2 linked regions of the Callithrix jacchus genome follow. The protein of the gene in region 1 interacts with the protein of each later gene in a biochemical or structural test. Links are inferred from orthologs where the notes say so. Each region holds a gene or a part of one and is shown on either strand. Other genes may lie near its edges.

Region 1 (4,206 bases):
AAAGTGAAAGAGAAAGAGGCAGAGAGGGAGACCGAAGGAGAGAGCGCAGAGAGGGAGAATGTGTCTGCGTGCATGTGTGAGAAAGAAAGTGTGGGCGAGGGAGAGGAGCCCGGAGTGGGGAGAGGGGAGGGAGGGAAGGAGGGAGAGCCCGAGAGGAGGAAGGGAGGGAAAGAGGGAGGGAGGAAGGGAGGGAGGGAGGGAGGAAGGGAGGGAGGGAGGGAGGGGGCCCAGCCCGTGCGCAAGGAGGGGGAGGCCGCGGGGGAGGGGGAAGGGGAGAGGAAGCGAGCGAGGACAATCAGACCTAAAAGGCTGGGGCAGACCTCGGGATGTAGCGGGGGTCGTGCAGAGCGGGCAGGAGCTGCTGGGGACCGCGTCCGGGCGCTCGTGGGGCTCTCGGCGCGGCAGGCGTTTCCCGGCCCTCCCTGGCCGCGGGCTCCTCCGCTCCGCAGCCGAGCGTGAGACTCAGGACTCGGCTGCCGGCTGCCGCGCGGCTCCTCCATGACCCGGCGCCCCTCCCGGGACCGGCCCGCTCGCGGCGCTGGCCCTCTCCTCCTGAGCTTCCCTCGGACAGGGGCGCCGCGCGCTCCCTGGCCACCGTCGCTCTGCCCTCGGCTCTCAGGGGCCGGGGATTCTGGACCGGGAGCCGGGATGCGGGCCCGGGCGCACACAGACGCGAGGCGGCCCAGCCCGGGCGCCGCTGGCACGGGCTCGCAGCTCCCGGCAAAAACCCGTCTGACTGGCTGGGCCACTCCCGCCCGACGCCCCCCCAGATGACAAGGCTAGCTCTCCCGGCGTGCTGCCTCTGCCAGTCTACCCGCCAGGTTGTCAGAACAAGCGGCACCTCGCCTTCTGCGTGTCCCTACAGCGCCCCGGCACAATCAGACTGCCCCAAGCCAACTCCGAAACCCGAAATCCCCGCTCCGGCGCTTGCCCGCCGCCACCAAAGTTGTGGAAACAGCTTTGACTTTATCCTTCTCTCCTTTCTCTCTCTCTTTTTTTTTTTTTTTTGCCTCACACACGCATTCACACTTGCCCCCACAGGATCCCTCTAGGGGTGCAAGTTCATCCCCCACCTAGCCACCCACCCCATCCAGTTGGCACCTAGAGCTGCGCGGAGGTTCGGACCCTGCCCGCCGAGGGCGCCCACACCTGGAGCTGGGTTTCGGCCTCTGCGAAAGTGAAATGCCCCAGCCTCGGGCCAAAGACCAGACCAGGACTGTATGACTTGTCCTGTGAGACTGAGGGACTCAGTTTCATTCCGACCGGCCTACAAAGCTCGCTCCCAGCCTCGAAAACAAAGCCACTGGTCTGACATGGGATCCCTGCACCCCTCCCCAGCGCGACAGGACCCCCCCAGAGAAGGGCCAGTACCCATGGGATGTCACCCCGTGCCCCATCTACTGGGGTAGGGGGCCTGAAAGGAGAAAGATTTTAAATAGTCTTCAGAAAGAAAAGGGAGGAGGGAGCGGGTGACACATCGTTCACATAAACCCAATTTCTGGTTTCGAGCGAAGTCAAGACCTCCGCCTTTGCGCCTGCACACAGACCTCCTGCTTAACATTCTCAGCCTCGAATGCCAAAAAAGAAAAAAAAAAAAAAAAGTAAAACCAGCAAAAGTTGGGACTGCCACCTATTTTTTAAAGTAATCTTCAGCCCTGCACTCTCTAACCCCTCTCTCGGACTCCTTGCTCATTTCACTGAAGGTTGTAACCGTTCCCAGCGCCTCCTGCGGGTGGACCGGTCGCGCTAGAGCCTCCTTGCTCACTCAAGAAGGCGAGCTCGGGGGACTCTGGGTTTTAAAATGGGTTCCAAATCGGCGCGCTCTGTCGGCCCAGCGGGCTCGCGGCACCAGAGGTGTCCACAGCCGCTCAAGGATTCCCACGGTCGTTCTCGGCTGCTGCTGAAGCTGGCGCTCCGGCACCCAGCGCCAGCAGATTCCGGGTAGCACCTTTCCCACCACACGCCCCCCGTGGGGTGCGTCGATGATGTAGCTCAGAAGGAGAAGTTACTTAGAACTTCTTGAAGCACCGAGGCTCTGCAGCGAGCCTCGCAGCTGGGATGAGTGTTCTCAAGTTGAACCCACTTATAGGAAGATGCAGCCCTTCTTACAGCGAAGTGTGGGGGCCCTTCTCCAAAGCCCAGACCAGGGTACTCTAAAGAGTACCGCTTTAGAACAGGGGGTGGGGGGTGAGGGAAAGAGAGGAAGAAAGGAAAGAATGAATGAATGAATGGAAGGAATATTAAACATCGGATGGGAAGTTGAAGAGAGAAAAGAGTTTTCTCTTTCTGTTCCTCGTGACTTGGGCCCTCAGAATCTCGATGAAGAAACACGAGGAGTGCACTGGCGCGTGCCCATTTGCCAGCAACCGCTTCAAAAGCCCATGTTCTTCTCTTCACCCCACTCTTACGCACAGCCAAAATCGGTCAGAAAGGGAAGGAAAGTGGGACACGGGCTCCAAAGTAGGGAAACCAAAGAAGGGAGCATCAACGACCTCCCTCTCCAGCTTCTCCCCCGCGTTCTTCGGACGAATCTGAGGGGCGGTCGCTGCTCTGGGGAAAGTTTGTCCCACCCGCGTTTCGCAGCTGGTTGCAAAGAGGAGGAGGAGGAGAGGGAGGGTCGAGCTCTGAGCCTGGGGCCGCATGGATGATCAAGCCGGCCTCGCGCTTACCTCGCAGTCCTCGTACTTGATATTATCCGTCAATTTCCAAAGCATTTTCATGGATCGGCTTGAATGGATTTGCTCCTCTCCGTCTCGCACCCAAGTGGAGCTACTCTCTGGGTAAGCGCAAAGTGCTGGCTGCCGGCGGTGAGCACAGGAGGAGGAGGAGGAGGGCGAGGAGGAGGGAGAAGAGGTGGTGGAGGAGGAGGAGGGCGAGGAGGAAGAGGAGGAGGAGGAGGAGGGCGAGGAGAAGGGCGAGGAGGAGGAGAGAAGGGAAAGAGCTCCCGTGTGCGCTCGGAGATCTCCCTCTAATGGTAGAAACTTTTCCCTTTTCCAGCTCTATACCAACAGCCTAATCGCCTCATTAGCATATCAACAATAGTCCAATTGCTCGCCAGTACCACAGTCTGCCGCCGGCCGCTCCGACCCAGGTATAAAGGCCTCTCTACACCGCAAACTTGCTTCAAGAGCTCACTCCTGCCTGCGAACTGATGAAACCATCTTGAGCTCCGCCGCGCGCCCCTGCCACAACACCCCCTCTCTTACCCCAGTTCCGCCCCATTCCCTTTCCTTTCTTTCTCCGCTTCCTTTTCTCTAGAGATGCCCTGTGCAAAGCCCGGCACAGCTCCAGGTCCGAGCCGCCACGCCTGGGGCCCGGCTTTTTGCACTTCTCCTTTAACCCTGCTACCACGATCCGAGCTGCCCTTTTGGCCCCGTGCAATTTTATTAGAAATCATTATCCCTTTCGCAATTAAACGTAACCACCAAACCAAGACCGGCGAAGTCACTCCAGGATTTTTGCCCAACTAGGGATCGCCTCCGCTCGCAGCAGCCATCCCCTCGGGCCGCAGCGCCCTGGGAGTTTTATTGGCTTTGAGCTTTCCCCCAGGTTGGAGATTCTGCCAAGCGGCCCCGGTGGCTCTGCTGGGGTTTTCGATCCCTTAATTGCGGCATGTAAAATAAAAGTTGTACCCTGAAGAGGTAGCTTGACAGCTCCAGGGGTTAAATAATTTTCTTCCCGTTTGTGTGAAGCTAGGGTCAACTGACAGTCCAACTTGGTGTTCAGGCTAATGTTTCTTAGGTGCGACTTGGACACGAATACAGAACTCCTATGGAGCTGCACACCCGCTTCTGAAGTTGAGCCGAAATAGACATGTGTGCGCCTGCAGGTCTAGATACCGTCTCATGCATGCATCAAAATAAATCACCAGGAACCGACTCTTCGCTGTGTTAATCTGCTCCAGTTTTCCCAAGATTCCCCTTTTTAATTAAAGCAAGGAGAGTTCCTTCATGATTTGGTGATGCTACTAACGCGAGCGTGCTCGCCAGGCAGAGCCCGGCTGACGCGGAACCTGGAGGCCTGGGAAGCCACCTCCTTGGCCAGATTGGTCAGTCCGGGCTTTTGGACTTTTCACTGGGGCCTACTGGCTTCGCTGGGGCTTTTATCAGTTTCTTTTTCGGGATTTTTTTTAAAAGTAAGAAAAAGAAATAATAAAGGACCTAATGCGACACTATGAAATACAGAGTAATTAATTTTCCTGGCTGA
Region 2 (3,944 bases), about 130 Mb from region 1:
CCCATCCATCAGTATATTATTCTAATCTACCTCCATTTAAGTAGTTCAATCAGGTATAAACAGAAACACTTCATTTTTCCCTCCTGCCCATTGAAAAAGATAATGTTGAGTATTGCAAACCTTTCTAACTCTGGAGTACACTTGAATATGATGGCAATTAAGAAAAAAAAAAGCACTATGACAACTTTGCAGCTTTTGATTAAAGCACACCAAGAGGCATGTTACAATGATAACAATGAAGCATTATGCCAATTATGTTAAATCCTGCTCTCCGCTTAAGCTCATCATGACCTGTTTTAGTGTCCTGTAATTTATCCTTTGGAATGCTTACTCTCATCAATAAAGTGTTCAACTTGGGGGGGGGGAAAAAGCCACCAAAGAGAACCACCACCCCCCAAATGACTTCTAGAAAACGAGTTATTTCTTAACTTTTTATTGACATTGGCAAATTAAAATAGAATAAATTAACAAGTATTTTTTCAAAAAAATGTTTTGTACAAAAATACTGTCAAAATTTCCTAAAAAGCTTTCAACACAGTAGTATCTTTTCATGTACTGAATATAACTATTAGCACAGTGTCAAAAATGTTGAAGACAGAAACAAAATAAAAATCTGTGAAATGTTTGCCACTGACGACATTCCACACCCTATTATCATCTGTACATATGGGGGGGGAGGGAGAGACAGCCAACTTGAAAGTGAACAGTATGACTTTTCCTGATCCAGAACAGTTTGGCCCACATCTGTTTAATCTTCCAGTTTAGCATATTTTAAAAATTAGTCTGTACTCAAATGCATAGTTAAAAAAATGAAGCGAGATGGCAGAGTTTGTGCAGTAATATCTGCCCTTCAAAGTTCATGCAACCAACTAATGCAATTTTTCCTTTCACTCGTAAATCTGAATGCAGTTCAGTCATTTGAAACCATCTACAAAATCCACAAGATTAAGAAGTTTGCCAAGATTAATATCTAACAGTTGAGCACTGAAGAAAGTGAGGGAAAGGAGTAAAAACAAACAACGAAAAAGACCAAGTTAGCTAGATATTTCAACTACATAAGGGAGGTGAATGTCAAGGCTGCAAAAACGAAACAAAAACAGGGAAAAAAAGTGGCAGCAATTTTTTTTTAAACCAATTTGTACAAGTTTATAGTTTACTTTGTTTCCAAGTTCTCAAACCTTTCAAGATCTGAAAAGTGAGATACTGTGTCTAAGGGAATGTTTCTTTTAATTCACACCGAAGAAGTTGGGGGTTTGATTTCTTTCGCCGGGGTTTCGATCGAGTCAACAGCTCACTCTGCTGGGCTGCTGTTTGCACACGAAGTCCGTCATAAAATCAAACTCGTTTTGCCCCAGCCAGAGTTCGGGCAGCTCCTTGATGCGGTCCAAACCCATTTCTATCACCAAGGACATAAGAACTTCCTCGTCGATGAAATCAGTGTCTATGACATTGGGCGGCAGCATTGCAGCAGGGACGTGGGCCACGGAGGCGGGCATGTTGCTGCTGCCGCTGCCGCCGCTGCCGCCGCCGCTGTTGCTGCTGCCCGCGCCGCCGCCCGCGCTGCCGCCCGAGCCGCCGGGGGTGCTGCTGCCGCCGGAGCCGCCGGGGGTGCTGCTGCCGCCGCTGTGCTTGGGGTTGCAATCTCGGAAGTGCTGGTTTGTCCCGTTCATCTGGTGGCCTGCAGCAGGGTGCAAATCCGGCATGTAGTGGTTGTGGGGGTAGGGGTGATGGTTGAAATACTGGTTGTTGAGCTTCTGCAGCTGCATGCTGGCCGGCAGGGAGCCTCCCTGGCTGGCCACCGGGGGGGCCATGAACTGGGAGTTGTTAAACCTGGCCGCGGGGGCCAGTGCGCTCGGGGGGTGCCCTCCGTTCACAGTCCCCGGTCCCATGGCGTGCCTGATGCCGCTCGTGGCATTCATGTTGCCCGCGCCGTAGTGTATGTGTTCGCCCATCAGGGCGTTGAAGGCGTGCTGGGGCTGCTGCTGCTGGTGGTGATGGGGGCTTGGGAACTGCCCCATGCCCATGCGGTGGGCAGGGTGGTGGTGCAGCCCATTGGTGCCGTCGGGGAAGCGCCCGTGGTTCATGGCCATCATATGGTCTGCCATTTCCAGTCCTGGAAGTGAAAAGGGCAGACGATGAGACCCGCGCCACACGTGTCGCCCACCACAGCGCACCCCACTGTTGCCCGCCTCTGATTCCCGGGCGCACGTCGGCTGCGAACCAACACCCCCAAATCCCACTAGCAGCCTGTGCACCCGGGCTCGCCACCAAGGAGGACCTGCCACTCGAAACACAGCCGGGCACTACACAAACAGCCCCTTCCCCTGAGATCGGGCGGGAGGACCCTAGCCCACACCCCCCTCTGCTCCCCGAAGTGGCCTAATAAAGGAAGTGCCCCGTAGCCCTGCCGCGAACTTCAGGCATTGAATCAGCCCTCCTCATCCTGTTGTTGCACATCCTGTTGTTATTCCCCAGCTTCGCCTCACGCTCTTCCTCCGGGCAAACCCTGCCCTCGGAGGACTGGGCTGGCAGGAGCCCCAGCCAGCTTCGCCCGTCGCGCTTACCTTCCGTTTTTGCGATTTCTGCTCCGAAGACAGAGGGCGGGATCGTCGGGTCCAGGACCGGCTCAGCAGCACATAGAGGGGGCCTTCCTGGCGTGCAGGGCGCTTCGCTGTCGCGATGTCGGCGCCGAGGTCTCGCAGCGGCTGCTGGGGCAGATTCGGAGCCGTTCCCTTTTATTTCCCCTCCGCTGCTCTCACAGCTCGGTAGGAGCGCCCGGCAGCTGCCAACAATGAGCTGTGTTTCTTAGGGCTTTGGCCACAGTTAATATAGCATTTCTTGAAGGGCGGAGCGAGAACCTCCAGGGCGGGCGGCGCGAAGACGCGGATTCCGGAACAACACGGACACCTGGACCGGGTCCGGTGGCCGCGGCCCCGCTGCCCGCGGCACGTGCGCAGAGCCTGCGGGCCCGTCGCCCCCTGGCTCTGGTTTCTTCCCGGCCCAGAAACGCGAGGTCGGCTCAGCCACCCCCGGGGCAGCGGGGAAATCCTCCCCGGCCGCCCCGCCCGAAGGTAGCGCCTGCCCGGAGTGGAACGAGGAGAGCTCACCGCCCGCCTCTGGCCGGATCTCCCCACCCCCAGCTCTCCCACTCCGCTCACCTAGCGATCTGTCTGGCCCTCTACGGGAAAAGGGGACTCGCCCAGCGCCCCCGCCCTCCGGAGTGCCCTTCTGCCTCGCCGGCTTTGCCAAAGCTTTCCCAGGCTGCGAAGAATGGCTGTGCGTCCTCGTAGTTGGGTTTTAAAGACCCGGACAAATAATGCGCCCTTTCTTGAGCGCGCTTTCCTGGACTGTGCCTTTGTGTTTTCATAAGGGCAGTGGGTAGACCTACTCTAGATCACTGCATGTAGATGCCTTTTTTTCCTCCACTCCTTTCAAGGACAGGAGCTGGGGGCGGGGAGCGGCAGCGGCTGCGGCTGCAGGTGGACCGAGCGCGCTCGCGGGCCCGGCCACCCCAGATCCCGCACCCTGGAACTCCAGCCCGCGCTTTTGGGCCCGCCCGCCGCTCCCGGGGTACGTGTGCTTCTGCTAAGTTTGCGTTTGCTGCTTTGGTAGCTTTGGCATCCGAGCTGAGGCGTCTCTGCTCTGTAAACAAACTCAGCGATCCTCGTCCCCAGATCCACCTTTTTGCACATACACAGTTACTTGCTTCTGCTGTTGCCCTGGATCCGGGAGGTGGGGGTGTGTGCAAACTTGCACAGCTTCCCTCTGGGCTCTGCTTGACGGTTTGGGGTTGATTTAGAAGCAAACGGGTTTGTAATTAAGAAATTCGAGGGCTGAGTAAGGCTGCTGTTGCTGGAAAAGGAAAACAAATAGATAACATGGTAATCACTTTGTAAATAAAGTCGTTCTGGAGGTGGGCACGTAGCTGCAAGTCCCGTATGGCA

The links. The genes of interacting proteins can lie anywhere in the genome.
Region 2: the proteins of TFAP2A (region 1) and CITED2 form a complex in vitro, tested with the Homo sapiens proteins (2 studies listed by BioGRID, with this or other methods). The link is inferred for Callithrix jacchus from reciprocal best matches to the Homo sapiens genes TFAP2A and CITED2.

The regions. Positions count from the first base shown.
Region 1 is NC_133505.1:20,025,743-20,029,948, reverse strand, and holds the start of TFAP2A (transcription factor AP-2-alpha), read right to left. Parts: upstream 2,801-4,206; 5' UTR 2,721-2,800; coding exon 2,670-2,720; intron 93-2,669; exon of another isoform or gene 1-92.
Region 2 is NC_133505.1:146,159,913-146,163,856, forward strand, and holds CITED2 (cbp/p300-interacting transactivator 2), read right to left. Parts: upstream 2,801-3,944; 5' UTR 2,565-2,800; intron 2,114-2,564; 5' UTR 2,106-2,113; coding exon 1,284-2,105; 3' UTR 421-1,283; downstream 1-420. UniProt on the Homo sapiens protein: Transcriptional coactivator of the p300/CBP-mediated transcription complex. Acts as a bridge, linking TFAP2 transcription factors and the p300/CBP transcriptional coactivator complex in order to stimulate TFAP2-mediated transcriptional activation.